Linked DNA regions of Arabidopsis thaliana. The protein of the gene in region 1 purifies or fractionates together with the protein of each later gene. This does not show direct contact. Each region holds a gene or a part of one and is shown in the gene's direction. Other genes may lie near its edges. The genes, in order: CUL1, TIR1, RUB1 and SLY1.

Evidence for each region.
Region 2: the proteins of CUL1 (region 1) and TIR1 purify together in Arabidopsis thaliana (affinity purification with western blotting; 4 studies listed by BioGRID, with this or other methods). This does not show direct contact.
Region 3: the proteins of CUL1 (region 1) and RUB1 purify together in Arabidopsis thaliana (affinity purification with western blotting; 2 studies listed by BioGRID). This does not show direct contact.
Region 4: the proteins of CUL1 (region 1) and SLY1 purify together in Arabidopsis thaliana (affinity purification with western blotting; 2 studies listed by BioGRID). This does not show direct contact.

What each region holds. Positions count from the first base shown.
Region 1 is NC_003075.7:1,126,728-1,134,322, forward strand, and holds CUL1 (cullin 1), read left to right. Parts: upstream 1-1,787; 5' UTR 1,788-1,936; exon of another isoform or gene 1,937-2,030; 5' UTR 2,031-2,086; exon of another isoform or gene 2,087-2,131; intron 2,132-2,555; 5' UTR 2,556-2,587; coding exon 2,588-2,718; intron 2,719-2,804; coding exon 2,805-2,904; intron 2,905-3,078; coding exon 3,079-3,264; intron 3,265-3,346; coding exon 3,347-3,394; intron 3,395-3,483; coding exon 3,484-3,687; intron 3,688-3,775; coding exon 3,776-3,853; intron 3,854-4,053; coding exon 4,054-4,143; intron 4,144-4,225; coding exon 4,226-4,306; intron 4,307-4,428; coding exon 4,429-4,488; intron 4,489-4,568; coding exon 4,569-4,598; intron 4,599-4,702; coding exon 4,703-4,789; intron 4,790-4,880; coding exon 4,881-5,030; intron 5,031-5,103; coding exon 5,104-5,159; intron 5,160-5,345; coding exon 5,346-5,466; intron 5,467-5,558; coding exon 5,559-5,720; intron 5,721-5,805; coding exon 5,806-5,949; intron 5,950-6,031; coding exon 6,032-6,250; and 6 more. Other genes in the region: LD (Homeodomain-like superfamily protein), read right to left, coding at 71-164, 259-626, 756-886, 1,040-1,067, 1,361-1,525.
Region 2 is NC_003074.8:23,272,516-23,278,265, reverse strand, and holds TIR1 (F-box/RNI-like superfamily protein), read left to right. Parts: upstream 1-1,635; 5' UTR 1,636-2,084; coding exon 2,085-2,551; intron 2,552-3,284; coding exon 3,285-3,777; intron 3,778-3,962; coding exon 3,963-4,787; 3' UTR 4,788-5,201; downstream 5,202-5,750. Other genes in the region: AT3G62970 (zinc finger (C3HC4-type RING finger) family protein), read right to left, coding at 5,568-5,705. UniProt on the Arabidopsis thaliana protein: Auxin receptor that mediates Aux/IAA proteins proteasomal degradation and auxin-regulated transcription.
Region 3 is NC_003070.9:11,217,179-11,221,358, reverse strand, and holds RUB1 (uncharacterized protein), read left to right. Parts: upstream 1-1,740; 5' UTR 1,741-1,941; coding exon 1,942-2,034; intron 2,035-2,438; coding exon 2,439-2,698; intron 2,699-3,165; coding exon 3,166-3,283; 3' UTR 3,284-3,664; downstream 3,665-4,180. Other genes in the region: AT1G31335 (uncharacterized protein), read left to right, coding at 4,030-4,180. UniProt on the Arabidopsis thaliana protein: Ubiquitin exists either covalently attached to another protein, or free (unanchored).
Region 4 is NC_003075.7:12,561,530-12,565,010, forward strand, and holds SLY1 (F-box family protein), read left to right. Parts: upstream 1-1,749; 5' UTR 1,750-2,128; coding exon 2,129-2,584; 3' UTR 2,585-2,953; downstream 2,954-3,481. Other genes in the region: AT4G24204 (RING/U-box superfamily protein), read right to left, coding at 540-919, 1,024-1,093, 1,200-1,286. UniProt on the Arabidopsis thaliana protein: Essential component of the SCF-type E3 ligase complex, SCF(GID2), a complex that positively regulates the gibberellin signaling pathway.

The sequences.
Region 1 (7,595 bases):
TCAATTATCCATAATAAAACAATCTGCATATTTTTACAGCCATCCAGCTGCAAGTAAATTAATCTCGTACCTTCAGGATAAGAAGTAAGACACTTGTTTGCTCTTCACTAGCAGCTTGACTTAACCATGTTGTAAGTATCAAAACCCCTCCTTTTGATAAAAACCTGTGGCACATATAGAAAATGACTGTCAAGACGGGAATATAATAACAATAAAATAAAATAAGACAGTGGGTGAAAGAGAACCCCCAACTAGTACCAGATCAGCACAGAAGCATCTTGTATCTGCATGATCCACTCCATTAGTTTCACCTGGCCTGAAAATGTTTCCTCTTTACGCAGCAGAGAAAATATATTCTCAACAAAGTATTTGTCTGAATCGCTGATGTCAGGTGGAATATCTTCAGGTGGAATAAGTGCCACTGTTTCACCTTCACCCCAGCTTATAGAACATGCCTCCGGATGTATAGAGTTCAAGGGAACGGGTTCAACATGATTTGTGGCATTGTTATTTTCCGGAACACCATCATCTTGTAAAGCATGCGTATTGGACATAACTACTTTCTCCCTTGAAAGCCTCACCTGTTTCCTCACTCTTGTCTTTTGAGTAACAAAAAATTCTCGAACCTGCCATTGAAGAAAATAATAAAGAGACAAACCAAAGTCTCATGAGTACCTCAACATGACAGATCTAAACTGACATGGAATTCTAAAAGCATGGCAAAAAAGAGTACATATCATGTAGAAGAACAATACCTGGGCGACTGTGATGCCAAATAAAGCACTTATCTCCCGAGATTCCCTCTTACTAATAGCATCTTTAATTGCGAAAACTGCTTGTAGATACTTAACAGCCTTAGGATTCAACAAGTCTCTTGGCCGCTTTCCTGAAATATTTACAAATTCATCAGATACTAGGCATCGAGCACGTAAAAGTTGGGTATGCCTTTAATGAACCTAGAGAGCAACAATGAATTGAAACATTCTCTGTGATATACGTAATTATGCCAAAAGATCTCACGAATCCTAAGATGACTCACCAATTTTAATGGACAAAGCACCAGCAGCCTGAAACAACAAAAAAATTAAACAGATTAATGTCTTTAACAGAGATGATTACTTGATCAGAGAAATGACATATAAACAGTTGAAGCATCACCATTACAGTTCACAGAAGAAACGGAGAGGTCGAGCTATATGAATTTATACCAAAAACACCTCTAATTTTTGCTAGACTCAATACCCTTCAAAGAATTTATTCCAAAATCCGAATGACCTGTCCCTCTCAGCTTTGCCCATATCACCATACCCCAATAAAACACGAACTTTAGATACCAAAAAACATAGAAACAATAACCCACCATTTCTTGCGCAAGGGGATTAACGCCGGTAAGTTTGCATTGCGCAACGACGACATCTTGGAGCTGATCGATCTGGCTATGAAAAAGCACCTTCTGCGAATCCAATAGCTCCATTAAAGACTCCACCGAGCTCCCGATTTCTATCTCCTCCTTGAACGCGTCCATGGCCGCCGACGGAAAACTCGAAGACCAATACGCAAACCGAATTCAAAATGTGCATCAGGGAATTAAACTGAAACGTAGGACTCAGTGATTCGAATGTGTTGAAACGATAAATTCAATGAACATGGTTACCTAATTTCGGATTGTCAAAAAGCCGATTCGGGTTAGGGTTTGAGTAAGGAAGGCAAAATAAAGGGGCATAAAAGTAAATAAGTTACTTTACAAAGAAAAATTATAAAACGCAGCGTCTTGATGTAGATCTCTGAAAAGGTAAGAAATTAAATTTGTTTAATATTATACTAATATATTAGTTGACATAAAATAAAAATAATTAAATCTATAAGACCTGAAAATAATAGAATAGAAGAGAACGAGTTTGTTTCCTGAGATATCTTTTCACCGCCCTTCTCATAGGTCTCGTCTCTCTTTCTCTCTATTTTACGCTTTTTTCCTGAACGATTCTTAGGGTTTTGATTCTCTCTCTCTCTCGCTTCTTTTTCGATCGCAGCAGCTCTCGCCGATCCTGTGTAATCGGGAATCGGTAATCGTCAGGGTCTGTTTGGGGTACGGCGACGCGATTTTCTGATTATTAGGGTTTAAGATCTCGAGGTATCACTATTTCTGTCGGATTCTCGCTTGTTTTGTTCCATACGACAGTTGATTTTTTTATCATTCTGTTGATTGTTCGTCTTTCTAGGTTTTTATTTGAATTTTTGTGGGATCGAGATTGTTAGGGTTACGTCGGAGTCTCTGGATTGCGTTTCTACTGTGTAATTTCGTGTTTATCTCATGGATTGATTGTTTCTCGAGTATATTCTGATGCTTATGTCCTCGTTTGCGCACAATCTGATAGTTTGGGTTTGATTTGGGTGATAATACTCGTTTCGCATTCGATAATGTGGGTGTTAACGTGTTATTATAACCTCTGAAGAATGATAAATATTGTTGACTCTCTCGCTTCAGTCATTTCATTGTGTTGCTTAATACTGCTGTTCTAAATTTTGGTTTTCTCCTTGTTCTTTGGTTAACTTAGGTTGAGGAGAGCTTGAAAAGTTGTTTGTCAACATGGAGCGCAAGACTATTGACTTGGAGCAAGGATGGGACTATATGCAGACTGGAATTACTAAGCTGAAACGGATTCTGGAAGGATTGAATGAGCCAGCATTTGACTCTGAGCAATATATGATGCTTTATACGTAGGTTTTATACTTGTTTATTACCTTATATAGCGGTTTGGCTGTTTGTCCTGATACTTATGATGGGGAATTTATTTGATTCTCAGGACTATCTACAACATGTGCACCCAGAAACCTCCTCATGATTACTCACAGCAGCTTTATGACAAGTATCGGGAAGCATTTGAGGAATATATTAACTCAACAGTGAGTCTGATTGATATTTAGTTTCTTTCTTATAAACTTCTCGTTTTTACTACCTCTGAATTTTAAGATGCCACTTTTGTGCATGGTTTCATATGTCAAGAAGTCCTGTCCCCTCTTGGTTTTAAGTTGATTCAAACGGTTTTGAATGTTTGCTCTCTTGTTGTCTGTGGTTAGGTTTTGCCTGCGTTGAGGGAGAAGCATGATGAGTTTATGCTGCGGGAGCTATTTAAAAGATGGTCAAACCATAAAGTAATGGTCAGATGGCTATCCCGCTTCTTCTACTACCTTGACCGTTACTTCATTGCTCGGAGATCACTTCCACCACTGAATGAAGTTGGCCTGACATGCTTCCGTGACCTGGTATGGCATTCATTCCTGTGGCTTTATAGCTTTCAGTTGTATTGAAATATTTTTAACTTTTCCTTGATTCTGTTCGCTTCAGGTTTATAATGAGCTACATTCTAAGGTCAAACAAGCTGTAATAGCTCTTGTAAGTATGGCGTCAATATTGTTGTGCAGTTACATCCAACTCTGGCTTTTGCCTGATTCAAGGTCTAACATGACCTGTTCTTCTGTCAGGTTGATAAAGAACGGGAGGGCGAGCAGATTGATAGGGCCCTGCTGAAAAACGTATTAGATATCTATGTAGAGATTGGAATGGGGCAGATGGAGAGGTATGAAGAAGATTTTGAAAGCTTCATGCTTCAAGATACTTCTTCGTATTATTCTCGCAAGGCATCAAGCTGGATTCAGGAAGATTCTTGCCCTGATTACATGTTGAAGGCATGACTCGTGATATCATTTTCTAAAATTTGTTTTTATTTCACAATAGTTGAAATTATTTATTAACTTCTGTGCTTTCATGTTACAGTCTGAAGAATGTCTAAAGAAGGAGAGGGAGAGAGTGGCTCACTACCTACACTCAAGCAGTGAGCCAAAGCTGGTTGAGGTTGGTTATTATGCACTATGTAATTATGCCTGTACTTGTAGGTTTGATGAAGAAACCATAGATCTTGCATAAGCCTTGATTTTGAATTTTGTTATTTGTATTGAGATACTTTCCAGACTCTTTTTAAATGCGTAGTCCAGGCATACTTGATTTTAAAGATTGATATCTGTTTGACTTGTATAGTAATCTTTTGTATGCAGAAAGTACAACATGAATTGCTGGTTGTGTTTGCAAGTCAGCTTCTAGAAAAAGAACACTCAGGGTGCCGTGCATTGCTAAGAGATGACAAGGTAGAGCAAGTATTTTTGTTTTTATTGTTGAGTAGTTAGTGACTTAATTATTTCTTTAATGGTTATATTTGTCTACTTTCAGGTGGATGATCTCTCCAGGATGTACAGGCTTTACCATAAAATTTTGCGAGGCTTGGAACCTGTTGCAAACATCTTTAAGCAGGTTTATTACCTATCTTCATTCTTTTGTTTATGATTAGCAAATGGATAGTCTTTTCTTCATGGTCTACTTGCAGTCTCTTAATTACTGTATGACATTAACTGTAACTTGTTATTCGTTCACAGCATGTCACAGCAGAGGGTAACGCTCTTGTCCAACAGGCCGAAGACACGGCTACTAATCAGGTTCATATTATCTTACTTGTTATATTCGGATAACTCTTCTTTCTTCGTTTGTGATTGCTAAGATCGTTTTTATTCCACAGGTTGCAAATACTGCTAGCGTCCAGGAACAGGTAAAATTATAAACCGATTGTAGTAAAGATATATTGGAAATTAGAGATTCATTTTTTTTGGGGATAAAATTGCTAACGATTCACTGTCCTTTCATTATTTCCAGGTTCTTATCAGAAAAGTGATTGAACTTCATGATAAATACATGGTATATGTCACCGAGTGTTTCCAGAACCACACCCTCTTCCATAAGGTCTAATGTTCTTTCTGCGCACTTGTCATTTGTCTATCTTATTCATGTTTATGTTGTGTTACTAACCTAAGTTTATGGAAACATATTTTAGGCTTTGAAAGAGGCATTTGAGATTTTTTGTAACAAAACGGTTGCTGGAAGTTCAAGTGCAGAACTACTTGCAACATTTTGCGACAATATTCTCAAAAAGGGGGGAAGTGAAAAGCTGAGTGATGAAGCTATCGAAGATACGCTTGAGAAGGTACTTTTGTCAAACTGTTTTTTCTTTTTCAAGTCTCCAAAGAGTGGTCCTGAATTTTATAATGTTGTTACAGGTTGTCAAATTGCTTGCATACATAAGTGACAAGGATCTTTTCGCTGAGTTCTACAGGTTTATCTCCAACTTCAATCTTTCTTTATCTGTGGATCGACTCTTTTTGCTTCTACTCTTTGTTTTTCTTGTAATGTTTTGTTTTTACTAGCTTTTTGTGGAGATGCCTTGCAACAATATACAATTTGATTGACATAAGTTGGATTACTGAGTTGCAAGCCATTTTGTTTATGGTTTTGATTGCAGGAAGAAGCTGGCCCGTAGGCTCTTATTTGATCGCAGTGCTAATGATGATCATGAGAGAAGTATCCTGACAAAGCTCAAGCAACAATGTGGTGGACAGTTTACTTCTAAGATGGAGGGCATGGTTAGTTTGAGTGTCCCTGTGTTTCTTATTTTAAAGCGGTGCGTGCTCTGATGACTTATGTTTTCTATATAATTTTAATCCGCTGGTGACAGGTGACGGATTTGACACTGGCAAGAGAAAACCAAAACAGTTTCGAGGATTATCTAGGCAGTAACCCTGCTGCAAACCCAGGGATTGACTTGACCGTCACTGTTCTTACCACTGGTTTCTGGCCAAGTTACAAATCATTTGACATAAATCTACCCAGTGAAATGGTAAAAACTCTATTGATTTTCTTACATACCTGAAAAGGAGATTGTTTGCTTCTGATAGATCTAATTCGTTGATTCTTTGTTTCAGATCAAGTGTGTTGAAGTCTTCAAAGGGTTTTATGAAACGAAAACGAAACACAGGAAGCTTACGTGGATCTATTCACTGGGAACTTGTCACATAAACGGGAAGTTTGATCAAAAGGCCATCGAGTTAATAGTGTCTACTTACCAGGTACTGTATGTTTCTCAGAAAATACTGATATATATTTTCTATCTGTAAACGGACTCTGATGCCACGTTCTCTGTCTCTATAGGCTGCTGTGCTTCTACTCTTTAACACAACTGACAAGTTAAGTTACACTGAGATCTTGGCTCAACTGAACCTAAGCCATGAAGATCTAGTTAGGTTGCTTCATTCCTTGTCATGTGCTAAGTACAAGATACTCCTTAAGGAGCCAAACACCAAGACTGTCTCCCAGAATGATGCCTTTGAGTTCAACTCCAAATTCACCGATAGAATGCGCAGAATCAAGGTTTGTGACGTTAATAGTAATACTCAAAAGTCTGCAAGTTTATGTCATGTTTTACATATTGTTAATAACTAACATCAACTTGGGTGATTTGCGTCACAGATCCCTCTTCCCCCAGTTGATGAAAGGAAGAAAGTCGTTGAAGATGTCGATAAAGACAGAAGATATGCAATTGATGCTGCCATTGTCAGGATCATGAAGAGCAGGAAAGTATTGGGACATCAACAACTTGTTTCTGAGTGTGTTGAGCAACTTAGCCGAATGTTCAAGGTAAATTATACATATAATTATATTTATACAGAGACATTTGAAGATGCACGTGGTGATGAAACTCATTGGATTTGTGATGTTTGTTGCAGCCTGATATCAAAGCGATCAAGAAGCGTATGGAGGATTTAATAACCAGAGATTATTTGGAGAGGGACAAGGAGAATCCTAACATGTTTAGGTACTTGGCTTAGGGCAAAAAAACAACAACTATGGAAGTGGTTGGCTCATGAAAGGAATCTGCTTGTATATTTAGAAGTCCATATGGAGACTGTCCTAAAACAAATTTATCGCTTCATTTTCGCTATTTTTCTCTTTTAAAAAATATTCGGTCTGTGCTTTTTTTTTGGGATGCAAATTTGCCTTGTGGATTTTTGTTTCTTAAATATTGAATGGAGATGGAGAAATGGCCTTAATGAATGAATCTCTGCTTTCTAATATATTTATCCTTGATCATATTATTTAAGTTTTATGTATCTCTGTGTTATATTGACGGATGGGAAAGTCGTAACAAATAATATGAGATTTCTTATAATCGAACGCTAATGAGACAAAGATGAACCGACGGAAGGTGCCTTCCTCAATCGCCGAACATTAAAAATCATTGTAATCATCTACGTCATTAGCTATAGTCCACCAGAACCGTAATAGTTTCTGCTTAGGACCAATGTCTTATATTTTAAGCCGTTTTTCTGTTGTATGATGATCTGAAATATTATTGGGATACAAAGACGGGTATGTTAAGGTTAATAACAATTTTGAACGGGTTAATGGTGGAGCTGGTGGATTATATTACTTGATTCCAATGTGCTTTTTTCTTTCTTTTTTGGGTTAATATGAATTATGAACGGATCATCAAAGACGATATTTGGAGCCTACACAGAGAATGATATATACGACATGGAGAAATTCTGTTCATATATGTTTTGAGGTGCGGAGTCATTTTACTCCATCGAGCAAATGTTTCTCACTTTTTATTTGCTTGAGATTCTGTTAAACAAACAAAGAATCATGCCATTGCACTATGATGAAAAAGCTGCGAGGAGATGTGCAAATTATAAGAATCAGCAAATTCCAACGG
Region 2 (5,750 bases), on another chromosome or scaffold:
TTTATAATTCATTCAGAGTTGGATCTAATATCGCTGAAGAGATAATTAAAAAAATAATTAGGGAGATAATTAAGGGATAATAGACAGCAAAGAGCAAGCTAGTTTTGAGTACGAAACCCGAGACTAGGAGAAAGAAATAAGAGAGATTCGCGGGGGAGCCATGCGTGGGATTATTATTCTAATCATTTCCTTAAAAAATTCATAATCAATGACCTCTTATTATATCAGTGTAAGTTAATCCCTTTTTCTGACGACATTAAAACTTATAATTTTAAAAAAACTTAAGCGTATTACGTGCAAGACAACTCAGCTCCACACTTCTCCCATCTGACTATACTCAGCCCTCTCTTTGTTTTTTCCTAATTATCTCTTTCTTCGTTACTACCTCAATTTCTGAGCACTTGCTTGCTACATTTTTTTTTTTTAAAATCTTCGTATTTGTATGTATGTCATTATAATTTTTAGATTTTATTTTTGGTTTAAGAACTAATCAACAGTACATTCAAAAAGAAAACTAGAAAGGTGCGATATTTTAAATAGTAGTTTAAGTGGATAAACGGTCAGGATGGTATGTAATACGAAGATGATATAGAACAGTTTGATAATGTGACAAGTTTTTTTAGTTAGGGCAGGACAGACCTATCAACTCCATGCTCAGACTCTGCAAAGCCCATCATACACTGTTTCGAGAAGAAGGGCATTCTCGTCAATTCAATACCCATTTATTTTCCTCTAAGCCGTTGTACTTGCGACAGAGCCCGAAATAATTGTAGTTTTTATACGTTTATTACACCCAGACGAGGTAAATTAATTAAGAAGTAATTATTAATTTTAAAAGTCACGATTGTGTATGTATGTATGTCCGTACACTGTTAAAAAGGGGTCCCAGATCTGACGGTCGTGATTAAAATGCGACGCTGCACTTTCTTTCTTTCTTTCTTCTCTACTTTATTCAAATTTTTCAGTATCCATTCTTTCTCTCTCTTTTTTTCTTTCTCTACTCATAAAAGTTGTTCACTTTAAATTATTGGATACTTCCCTCACATTTACTCTTTTTTGTGCAATCCTTTCAATTTTAATTTAAATTATTCAGCAATCTTCAAAAACATACAAATAATGTTTTAATCCAATCTCACACGAAAACACTGATTCTTGTTATGTTAATTCATCATTCAACTCTATTTACTTCACTTTAATGCTATGAGAAAGGATACACTTTAGTTAATCAAATTTATCAATACTATATATTACTAGAAAATAGAAAATGAAACTGTGATTAGTCTTGATGGTTTATTTATGAATCCAAGTGGTGGGTAAATAAATGAACATGCAAAACTAATAATAGGAGGAGATAGATGCTCAGATTCCACATCAAAACATGATTGGACGGTTGTGATGTCATCATAAATAACAGTAATAGCTTCTTTTTTTATTGTTTTGTTACCGTCAGATCATTAGTAGTCTAGTATTTTTTTTAACATTCTGTTGTGGTCCCCGCAATTTACGGGGCTTCCCCTCATATCCAGCCGTGCATCGCGTATCATTAGATTCCCTCTTCTCCTACACCTTACCACACCCTATCATTGATCTCCTTCTCGCGCTATTTTGATAGAAGCCGCGATAAGCCGACCCCCCCTCTCCAATATCTCGTCCCGTTTTCTGCGGCTGCCCTTCTCTGCACAGTCGATAAGATAATCTCCCGCTTTCATTCAATCGGACGGCTGGTATTTGAAGCTTATAAGACACGTGTCATCATCAGAATCGACAATCACAATCACCGAAAAGGCTCACATGGATATGTTTGACCACGGTTAACTTTTAACCCAACCATGGTTGGCTTTTTTAACTTGACCTCCTTCTCCTTCCCCCTATCCTTTTCTCTTCTCTTCCCACTCTCTCTCTCTCTCTATCTATCTTCTTCATCTTTGTTTCAGCTTCTCCTTTGAAACTAGATTATCTCCGTTAATGGCGCCTCAGATCTAACCTTGGGAGTTATATATATATACTTGTTCAACTCTTCTTCGAACGCTGTCCAACTTCTTCCTCTGGTTCGATCATCGAGATCTCGAGGTTATTTGGCCGCAATGCAGAAGCGAATAGCCTTGTCGTTTCCAGAAGAGGTACTAGAGCATGTGTTCTCGTTTATTCAGCTGGATAAGGATAGGAACTCAGTCTCTCTGGTGTGCAAGTCATGGTACGAGATCGAGCGGTGGTGCAGGAGGAAAGTCTTCATCGGGAACTGCTACGCCGTGAGTCCAGCGACGGTGATTAGGAGGTTCCCGAAAGTGAGATCCGTGGAGCTTAAAGGAAAACCTCACTTTGCTGACTTTAATTTGGTACCTGACGGATGGGGAGGTTACGTGTATCCATGGATTGAGGCCATGTCTTCGTCTTACACGTGGCTTGAAGAGATAAGGCTGAAGAGGATGGTGGTCACCGACGATTGCTTGGAGCTCATAGCCAAGTCTTTTAAGAATTTTAAGGTTCTTGTGCTTTCTTCCTGCGAAGGCTTCTCCACCGATGGTCTCGCTGCTATCGCTGCCACTTGCAGGTATTCTTTTTCTGAATGTTTTTTGTTTCATCAAGAAGACTCCCTTGTGTCTCTAGGAAGAAGCTTTTGTTTGTATTAAACTTATTGGTGTGTGATTTGTATATTCATTATACTACATAAAGTCTCAATTATAGCAAATTCATGTACTTGTTATTTGATCTGGGCATATAGGTTTTGCTGCGTTGTTCCTGCTGATGTTACTCTGGTCTTTGTGAGCTTTTTTTTGGTTTGGTCAAGATTTTGCGTATCTAAAAGATATATGTTTTAATCACGTTTCTGAAGATTCTTATTATAGCCACTCTCTTTTTCTTTCTGGTGGGTCTTATTTAACGGTGGTGTATCTATTTATTCCTGGATTATTCGCTCTCAGTGAATCTCCTGAGGTGGGAAATCTAATCAATTTGGCTTTGTGTGTGTTACTTTTCTTTTTGTAGGGGACTTTCAATTTTCTTTTTTTACCTTGTTGGGAAACTTAGATCTGTTTTCGGATTCCCCTTCTTTACTCGCTTTAGCTCTGTTTTAGCATCTCTCACATTGCTTCCACGTGATAAATTTAGTAATTTGTTATTGTTCTATGCTTAGATAGTTTCCCAAAGTGATCTTTCTACATTGTATCAAATACAACTTTGGACAAATTAATGACAATTATGCTCATGTATTGTAGGCAATGTTTATGTTCTCGAAGTTGTATAATGTGGGTCACTCGATGCTAATTATGTGATTTCTTATGCAGGAATCTGAAAGAGCTTGACTTACGAGAGAGTGATGTTGACGACGTTAGTGGCCACTGGCTTAGCCATTTCCCAGATACATACACTTCTTTGGTATCACTCAATATATCTTGCTTAGCATCTGAGGTCAGTTTCTCTGCTCTGGAAAGGCTGGTGACTAGGTGTCCCAATCTCAAGTCTCTCAAGCTTAACCGAGCTGTTCCACTTGAAAAATTGGCTACTTTACTTCAAAGAGCACCTCAATTGGAGGAATTGGGCACTGGTGGGTACACTGCAGAAGTGCGACCAGATGTTTACTCTGGTTTATCTGTAGCGCTCTCTGGGTGCAAGGAATTGAGGTGCTTATCTGGATTTTGGGATGCTGTTCCTGCCTATCTTCCAGCAGTTTATTCGGTTTGCAGTCGGCTTACAACTTTGAATCTGAGTTATGCAACAGTCCAGAGCTATGATCTTGTCAAGCTTCTTTGTCAATGCCCTAAACTGCAGCGCCTCTGGGTGAGTCCATTTTAACATACATTAACACATGAATTTGGAATAGGTCATTTTACTGTATGGTATGAGAAAGCTTATGTTCATAGTTTTCTTAAAAAATTTGAATGATATAGAGCAATATATCTGAATTATAAGCATTAAAGCCTTTTTCTTTTTGTAACTGTGCTCTAACTTATTATTGACTACAGGTGCTTGACTACATCGAGGATGCTGGTCTTGAGGTGCTTGCTTCAACCTGCAAGGACCTACGCGAGCTGAGAGTGTTTCCGTCCGAGCCTTTTGTCATGGAACCAAATGTGGCATTGACGGAACAGGGGCTTGTCTCCGTCTCCATGGGCTGTCCAAAACTCGAGTCGGTTCTCTACTTCTGCCGTCAAATGACCAATGCTGCATTGATAACCATTGCTAGGAACCGTCCCAACATGACTCGCTTCCGTTTGTGCATCATTGAGCCAAAAGCCCCAGACTATCTGACTCTAGAGCCACTGGATATTGGATTTGGAGCCATAGTAGAGCACTGCAAGGATCTCCGTCGCCTCTCTCTATCTGGCCTCTTGACCGACAAGGTTTTTGAATACATTGGGACATATGCCAAGAAGATGGAAATGCTCTCAGTGGCATTTGCAGGAGACAGTGACTTAGGCATGCATCATGTTTTGTCCGGGTGCGATAGCTTGAGGAAACTAGAGATAAGGGACTGCCCGTTTGGAGACAAGGCGCTTTTGGCCAATGCTTCAAAGCTGGAGACAATGCGATCCCTTTGGATGTCTTCTTGTTCCGTGAGTTTTGGAGCCTGCAAGTTACTAGGACAGAAGATGCCAAAGCTGAATGTGGAAGTCATCGATGAACGGGGTGCACCGGACTCGAGACCAGAGAGCTGCCCTGTTGAGAGAGTCTTCATATACCGAACAGTGGCTGGTCCTCGATTTGACATGCCTGGCTTCGTCTGGAACATGGACCAAGACTCAACAATGAGGTTTTCCAGGCAAATCATTACTACTAACGGATTATAAGACAAAGAAACGAGGTACATTTTTCATTAATCCTTGTTCATCATCCCATATAATCGTGTTCCGGTTTAGGAACATGAGAGAGCTCGGTCGCCAATAATTTGAATCTCGGCTGCTTCATATAACCATCAAGCTCATGAGCAATGAATAAGTGGAGAGAGAGAAAGAGAGATCTAAGAGAGCTTTGTTTTATTTATGTAAGAATTATTGATTGTTGTATGTTTATTTGGCTACTTACACTGAGAGATCCTGGTGGGGTATTTTTCTTAAGAGGATAAGAGATTTTTTTAAAAGACAATGTCAAAAATGTAACTGTTCTACTTGTTTTGTTTGGACTCTTTTATCCTTTTAAATGTTTTCTATCTCTCTCTCTCTTTGTCTTTGCCATTTCCTTTGTCCGCTTAATGAACTGTTTGCAGCCTTTTCGGTTTTGGAACAGCACCTAGTTTCGTCTCAGGTCCCTACACTCTCTTTATCACCATAATTAGAAACAAGAGAATCTTGCTCTGTGTAAAGGTCTTGGAATAGCATCATCGTCAAACGTGTGATAGGACACAATGTAATTGAACTGTTGTTTTTCATATGAAAAACAAGCTTTTTCAAATTTTCAGTTTACATGATGACTAAACACAGTAATACCATTTATATAACAGTACGATATTTTCCGTTTCAAGTGTTTTTAGGCCAAGAACAAAAATAAATAAGCAGAACACAGCCCTATCGCTCTATGGTTGGACCAATGACGGGAAAATTCAATGAAGAAGAGTTGGCTTCAGAAAATGATCACTCTGTTTCACTCACTGGATCTTGTGGCGTTGAGATTCTCCGAGTGTTGTATGAACCGCAATCACTGCACTTGTGTCCCAAAATGTGGAACATAGCTTTACTCCCCTTGTTGCAGTCATTGCAGAGAATTGAAACCTGCAGACATTTTCTTGGCGGATGTAAAACCATGAGCACAAGGAA
Region 3 (4,180 bases), on another chromosome or scaffold:
CAGAATTTTTTAATCTTAATTTATGGTATACAACTTTATATAATTTTTATTCAACTCGTAGTTAAAAATAAAAATCTGTTTGGTTGTGGAAATATGGAATATCTCTCTCTCCTTTATGAATCAACGTACAATTATTAGAAATTTCACATATCAAATAAAATAAAATTTTGGATACGAATGGTTACGATAGTTGGAGTGGACGAATCCGTTTATGGAGTGAACCTCTAGTATAATTTATAGTAGTACATGTCAAAAAATATAACAAATCTGATGCGGACTAACTATGATCCGTTTGTACATAGAAATAAATTTGGTATACAATAGATTGTTATCTATCCCAAAAATATAATAATCTAATTCGCTAATCGTTTAGCGAATTTCGTCCGCTACATGCATTTAAACCTTTTATTCATATATACATTGGGGAGTCGATTCATTTTATCATTTGATTTTAAGTTAATATTTAAGTTTGATGAGATTTATAATGGTTCATTTACCTATTATCTGTTCTATTTTATGGAGATTGATTAAGCATACCAAAACTGACCAAAAGCCATCGGTGATGCTATAATGTTAAGAGACTCACCAACTTGGAGTAAACCAGAACAAACCACGTTTATTCAACAACTCAAGATGTAGACATACAAAAATATGGATAAGAATCACCTATTTTATAAAGTCCTCTCATGCATTGTAAGGCGTTAGCTATGTGTAACTTGTTTTTGTTTTTTCGTTGCATCTTTATTGTGGTGTTGAATAACTGATTTCAATTTTCAATTGACTGAAACCAACTTTCAGAAAGCTAACATATGTCAGTGAAAATAAAAAATCAGCAGAAAATTAATTGAATTTATATGTAGAAACCAAAGCTTAAAAACCTTAGAATAGAGAATTGAGAAAAGTGATCTATTGGGTTGGATTTAAAATTATCCGATCCATTGGGCTTAATGAGAGACCTCTTTGTGATAAATTGACAAGAAATAAAGGCCATCTTTTATATGAGCTCTTCACGTCAATGTGGACCATCTTGTAATCTATCATATGGTTCATACTTTTAAAATCACATGGGTTCTATATGTGAACAAGTTTGAATAAAGATGGTGAAAAGGCTTTTTAGTGGTTGAGAAGAAAACGGTTAGAGAGATGTCTTTAATTTTGGTATGATGCCATTGGGATACACATATGGTCCAAACAAGCGTGAAGCGTCTCCAATACCTACATGAAAGGGTGAATTCTTTCACGATGAGTCTGCGTTTATAATAACAAAACGCTAGCTAGAGAGACAACCCATTCAAGTCCAATGAAATGTTGTCGAGCTTTTAAGATTCTTCCATTTGACCTTTCAGGTTTATCACCGTCTAAAATTGAACATAGCTTGATCTCTTTGACCATAGTATTTAAGAGGTTTCGCGTCAAACCACTCACTGCCACAACATGGTCCATAGTATGTAGAGACTAGTGGGTTTTGCACTAAGCTCTAGATTCCAACAAAATTGAATGTCAACAATTTGTTGTTTTCGTTTTTGGTTCTAAAACTAAAAAAAAAATTCAATGTCCCCATATTTTCTTAAAATCTAAGAAAACTAATTTTAGTACAAAATCTAAAAACTCTTTTAATTTTTGTTTTTAAAAGTTAAATATCCTAAAATAACAAACAAACAAAAAAATCTCAATATATTTAAAGCCACATTAATATATTTGATTTAAAGATAATTTTTAAAATTGTTAGTAAAATTATATAAGAAATGGAGAAGAAATAATAGCGTAGCCCAAAAGCTAATTACGAATTCTATCAAAGGATTTATTCCAAATCTTTCAAAAAGTATTTTTATTCCAAAATCCTCAAAACTATATCCCAAATTTTATTTGTATATATATAATACTTTTCCCGTCCGTAATAATATTCATAAACACCATTTCAGCGAAGAAAGGAAAAAAAAAATGCAGATCTTCGTCAAAACCCTCACCGGAAAAACCATAACCCTAGAGGTCGAAAGCAGCGACACCATCGACAATGTCAAAGCCAAAATTCAGGTTTCTCTTTCTCTCTTTCTCCGTCTCCCAATTCCACCTCCTCGTGCTTTTCTTAGGATTCTAGGGTTTTGCACTATGAATTTGTTTGATTGTTGGAGACACAGATTGGTTTGCTTTGTTTGATTGATTTTTAGGTTTTCTTTCCCCGATTATCTAGCGATCGATGTTAAGATTTCTTTAGATTTCTGTGTAACAGTAAGCACAAAGGCTCTCTTAATCCTTCATGTGTTTGCTTAATTTCGTATTTGTTTATGTTTTATGGTACACTTGAAGGTATGTGAATTGCTTGAGAATGGTTAATTGTTTCTGAGTTTAAGAAGATTGGATTAAGATTATTGTTAATGATCTTTTGATTTGGTCTTCTTCTAATTGGTTTATGAATGGATGGGATTTGATGAAAACAGGACAAAGAGGGAATACCACCTGATCAACAGAGGTTGATATTTGCTGGTAAGCAGCTTGAAGATGGTAGAACATTAGCGGATTACAACATTCAGAAAGAATCGACTCTTCACTTGGTATTGAGGCTTAGGGGTGGGACTATGATTAAGGTGAAGACTCTCACAGGGAAGGAAATTGAGATTGATATCGAACCAACCGATACTATTGATCGGATTAAGGAACGTGTTGAGGAGAAAGAAGGTATCCCTCCTGTTCAACAAAGGTAAATAACTTCTTTTTTTCCAGTTACTTCAGAAGAATTGAGTCGCAAAGTTTTTGCCTTGGGAACATTGAGTCTTGAACTATATTAACTCTTTGTGATATCTGTCTCAGCTCTCTTAGAGTTGTTTGTGTGGTTGAGTCAAAACTGATTGTATAAGATAGGTTGCAGTTTATTGACTTGAGTTTCATGTTTTAGTGACTTGCCCCTCTTGTGAAAATTGCAGCTCCTTTCAGCTCAGCTCTTTTACTTGATTGTATAAGTTGCGGTTCATTGACTTGATTTTCATGTTTTAGTGACTGGCTGCTTCCCTCTTGAGAAAATTGCAGCTCCTTTCGAGTGTGTTTACTTATGCTTTTGGCATCAAACGATTCTACTCTGCGTGCAAGCTGATAATCTATGCTGTCTCATATAACAGTGATTCTCATTAGTATTTCTAGGATGCTTATATATCTCATGGATGTTTGCAGGCTAATCTACGCCGGAAAACAGCTAGCTGATGACAAAACGGCAAAGGACTACAACATAGAGGGAGGCTCTGTTCTTCATCTGGTTCTTGCCCTTAGGGGTGGTTTTGGTCTTCTCTGAGAAGTAACTCTTGAAGATATCTTTTTCTCTTTGTATGGCTTGTTGGAGTTCATGGGAAAAAAGTGATTGCAATTTGGATATGATACTTTGAATATTATGCTGTTTCACTGGGTTTGGATCATTTTACCAATAATCTGTTAAATATCGAATCATTTTGTTTTGTTTAACATCGAATCGTACTTTAACATATTTATTTGGGATTTAGCTATTTATGATGAATATCTTTCATTCAAGAAAGAGGCTAGACATGTGAAAATAGGATCGAGCTATGTGTAAGATCGGACCAGGCCGATTGAGATTGCTGGTTGCATGAGTCCATCAATAGTCCCATATTTATTTGCATTACAATGAAATAGTGGTTACAAATCGTCAAATCCAATGAGTGTCCATCACATTTAACAATTTTTACTTTAATTTTCTAAGTAACTTAACTTGTCAACTTGAGTTTGATTCTCTATACTTTCATAGCCAGAAAAGCACATGAGACATGACTAATGTGATTATAAAAACTAGAAGAAATCGTATGGATGGGCCGACCAAAAAAAAAGATGACCGTTGAGATTTAAACGTTAAGCTTTAAAGCTTTACAAGACATAAACGTTGCGGACAGAATCGGATCCTTCCAGAGCCTCCCACAAACTCATACATATAAATACATGTGAAGTAGAATCAAAGCAAGAACAAGAGTCCAAGAATAAAAATCAATCAGAAAGAAGATTGAACATAGATCTCAAGAGTCAAGATCGATGGGTTTGGTTGTGGTCATATCTCTGCCTCTAATTTTCTTCTGTCTACTTCTCGGATTTGGCTGCTACTTCCTCGGAAAATCTCGCGGCCGTCGTGAGATCCGTACAAATCCTCAGGTGTATGGAGCTCCAGCTCCGCCTCCCGGTGCTA
Region 4 (3,481 bases), about 11 Mb from region 1:
ATGATTCTAAACTATACTTTAAAATCTGTTGTTATGAAATCTTTACATTTGTAAATCATGCTTACTAGAATCTATAATTTGGTGTTATTCAACTAAGATTTTAAATACTTTCATTAACATCCAATGTTATGAAACTCCGAAAAAATTTCATTTCAAATGGCTCAAAATAGATTTTTAAAAATAATTTCAAATTTCAAATCTAAACTTTACAGAATTGATTTTAATTTCATGATACACCCCCAAAAACGCAAACAGTTGGCATGATAAATACAAATCGGTTTACCGAAAAAGAAACAAATCCAAATGCTAGTGTGTACATTGGCATGGAATTGTCTTTGTTTTTGGTTGTTAAAGAATTGCATTGTTAAATTACAGATTGTATGGAATTATAGTCTTGTGGTGACACCAAAGATACTCGGATCTTTCTTTCACTTGTGTCGCTGAAAACTGAAAAGAACAAATAATAATAAAACGCAAAGCAAAGGGCGTTTCTTGGAAGCATGAGTTCGCAAAATGGTGATTAGGCAAAGCAACGGCGCTCAAAGCTTTTTCAACACTAATCTCTTTGATTTGCGTATCACCCTTCGGCAAATCGGACACACCTTACTTTCTTCCGACAAGATCCTTTGAGCACAGCCGCGACAAGTGGCAGAGTGACCACACGGTACAAAGAAACAGTTTCTACGTTCCTCGAAGCATATAACACACAGTGTCGAGTAGTCCACATCATCCGACGAGCTAAACGACGCCGTTTCTACATCTCCCTTCCCCGTTACCTCCAACGACTCATTGATCAACGGCGGCGTCCAATCGGTGGTGACTTCTTCTTCTGCCACCAATGGTAGCCTCTGTGTGTCATCCTCCATGTCACATTCGCTCAGGAATTTCAATACCAAATAAGTAATCGTCATTATTGTTCCTGAGAAACAATAACAAAAACAAAAAAACAAACAAATTAGCTCTACATTGAAGATAAATAGTACTCCATATGTTAATTATATAAATATGGGAGAAATATAGTACCCAAAACTGTAATATAAATCACCACTCTAGCTGAGAAGGATAGCCCCAAGTACCATCGAACGAACTCATCCTGCAAAATACAAGTTACTCGCATATATATATTAATCCATGGTTTCGTCAAGTTTTTTTTTTTATATAGAAAATTGAGTAGAGCTAGGAGCTAGAGGGGTACTCGCGTTATCCGATGGTAACTTGATGGAATTTAGTTTACGGAAGAACATATATAGAAGCTGCAGACATTTTGAGATCGTGGCATCGAACATTTTCGAGAGAAAAGAATGATCCAGTGAAGATAGAAATGATTTGTTCTCATCTGAAGTTATATTGAATTTCTTATTGTTTGTTAGAGAGCATTAAACAAATGAATTTCTGATTAATTCCAAGCAATTGTCATCACTCTGACAGTATATATAGATTGTGTCAAAAGACTCGTCGTGCAATCCATATTTATTAATTTGATCAGAAAAAGAGGCAAAATACAAGTTGCTGACACAAACTTAAAAAGAAAGGTACAGTACAATTTCCTAACTCTGATTTAATAATACCTATTTGTTAAAAAGGACAATTCAAGTGAGAAAATGAAAAGGCACCCAAATAATTCACTCTGTTTAAGTCCTAAACGACTGATTCTTTTATCTGAAAATACGTGATGCTAAATTAGTCAATAGTTGAAATAAGATTTAAAAAATGGATTATCCGTTAATTCACAAAAATTCCTAGAGGTCTCTCTGGTACATTCAATGAACACTCTTTTTAATAGTTGAAAATAAACATTTGGGAAGAACTAAGAAGAAACAACATTATAAGATGGGCTTGGGCTTTTTGTTGTATTGTTTTTTATGTTTTACAATTTTATTTAACAAACAAGATGACAAAAAAAAAAAAAAGGACTCCAAAAGTCCAAAACAGCTATGGAGTATATGAGGGTAAAGTCGTCATTTTACAAAAAGCATTTTTATCTTCGTTTTGTCGTCTTCGAAAGTTCTCAAAGAGAAGGCATCTGAGAAACCCCAATCTCTAATCTTCTTTTCAATTCAATACTTTTTTTTCTCAATCTCTCCTCTCAAATCAAACAACTTTGATTGATCTTCGCAATCGATTCCACATGAAGCGCAGTACTACCGACTCTGATTTGGCCGGTGATGCTCACAACGAGACAAACAAGAAGATGAAGAGTACAGAGGAAGAAGAAATCGGATTCTCCAATTTAGACGAGAATCTAGTGTACGAGGTGTTGAAACACGTCGACGCAAAGACCTTAGCTATGTCATCTTGCGTGAGCAAGATCTGGCACAAAACGGCACAAGACGAGCGGCTTTGGGAGCTGATCTGTACTCGTCACTGGACTAACATCGGCTGCGGGCAGAACCAGCTCAGATCTGTTGTGTTGGCGCTTGGTGGCTTCCGAAGACTCCACTCTCTTTACCTCTGGCCTCTCTCTAAACCCAATCCGCGTGCTAGGTTCGGTAAGGACGAGCTTAAACTCACTCTTTCTCTTCTCTCAATTCGATACTACGAGAAGATGAGTTTCACTAAGAGACCTCTTCCAGAATCCAAATAATTGACTACAAATTATTAGAGTTTGGTTTTGGAGTTTGTGTATTTGGAGTTTGTTGATTGGTAAGTCAGATGTGATGTTCAATGCTGGCAATAAAATTTGTTGGTATCCATAAGCCAGACTGTTAGCAACAGTTGTGTTCTGTAATAATAGAGGGTGATGAGAATTTTTAATTACTGTAATCGGAGCTGATTAAAAGTAGATTTAATATCAAATGTGATTCGATTTTGTTGTAATGGTTCTGTCGTGAAGTTAAGTTGGTCCGTAGTTGGACAATGATTGTAACAAAATCGATTCGTGATCCAGTTTGGTAAGATTAAGAACTGTTAGTGACGATTCTGTTTTATTATTCAATGAAAAACAATGTTCACCAATTTGGTAATAAACCTAACATTCACCACTTTAAGTCCAAACCGGAATCAACGTCAAGCTATGTAATGTTGCTTATTTCTTTATGTCCTTCGTTTGTAACATTTCCCGGTGGTTACTACTCTGTCGGATCCAGTTTTGCCGTCTAGTTTTTACAGCGGTACGATAAATCTCAAATGTTGTTTGATTTGGTTATTCTTGCGATGGTTAGCCTTAATTTCGCTAGATTTATGTGTATTTGAGTGATAGCTACAAGCCTACACATCATTACCATGTACCACCATCTCCTTATTCAAATCAGAATCATTATCGCCGTAACCACTTTTGTCATTTTCTTTTTTTATATGTCGGTAAAGAAAGAATAATGAAATAAAGAGGTGTAAGTAAGAGTCAACAAAATAATTTAAGAGCTTGTGTGAATTGATAAAAACACTCCTTTTCTGTTCTTGGTTTTATATGAAATTTATAAACAAACTCGAGTGATTACAAAGAACTTATAAACCACTTATGTGGCATACTAAAATTTAACAA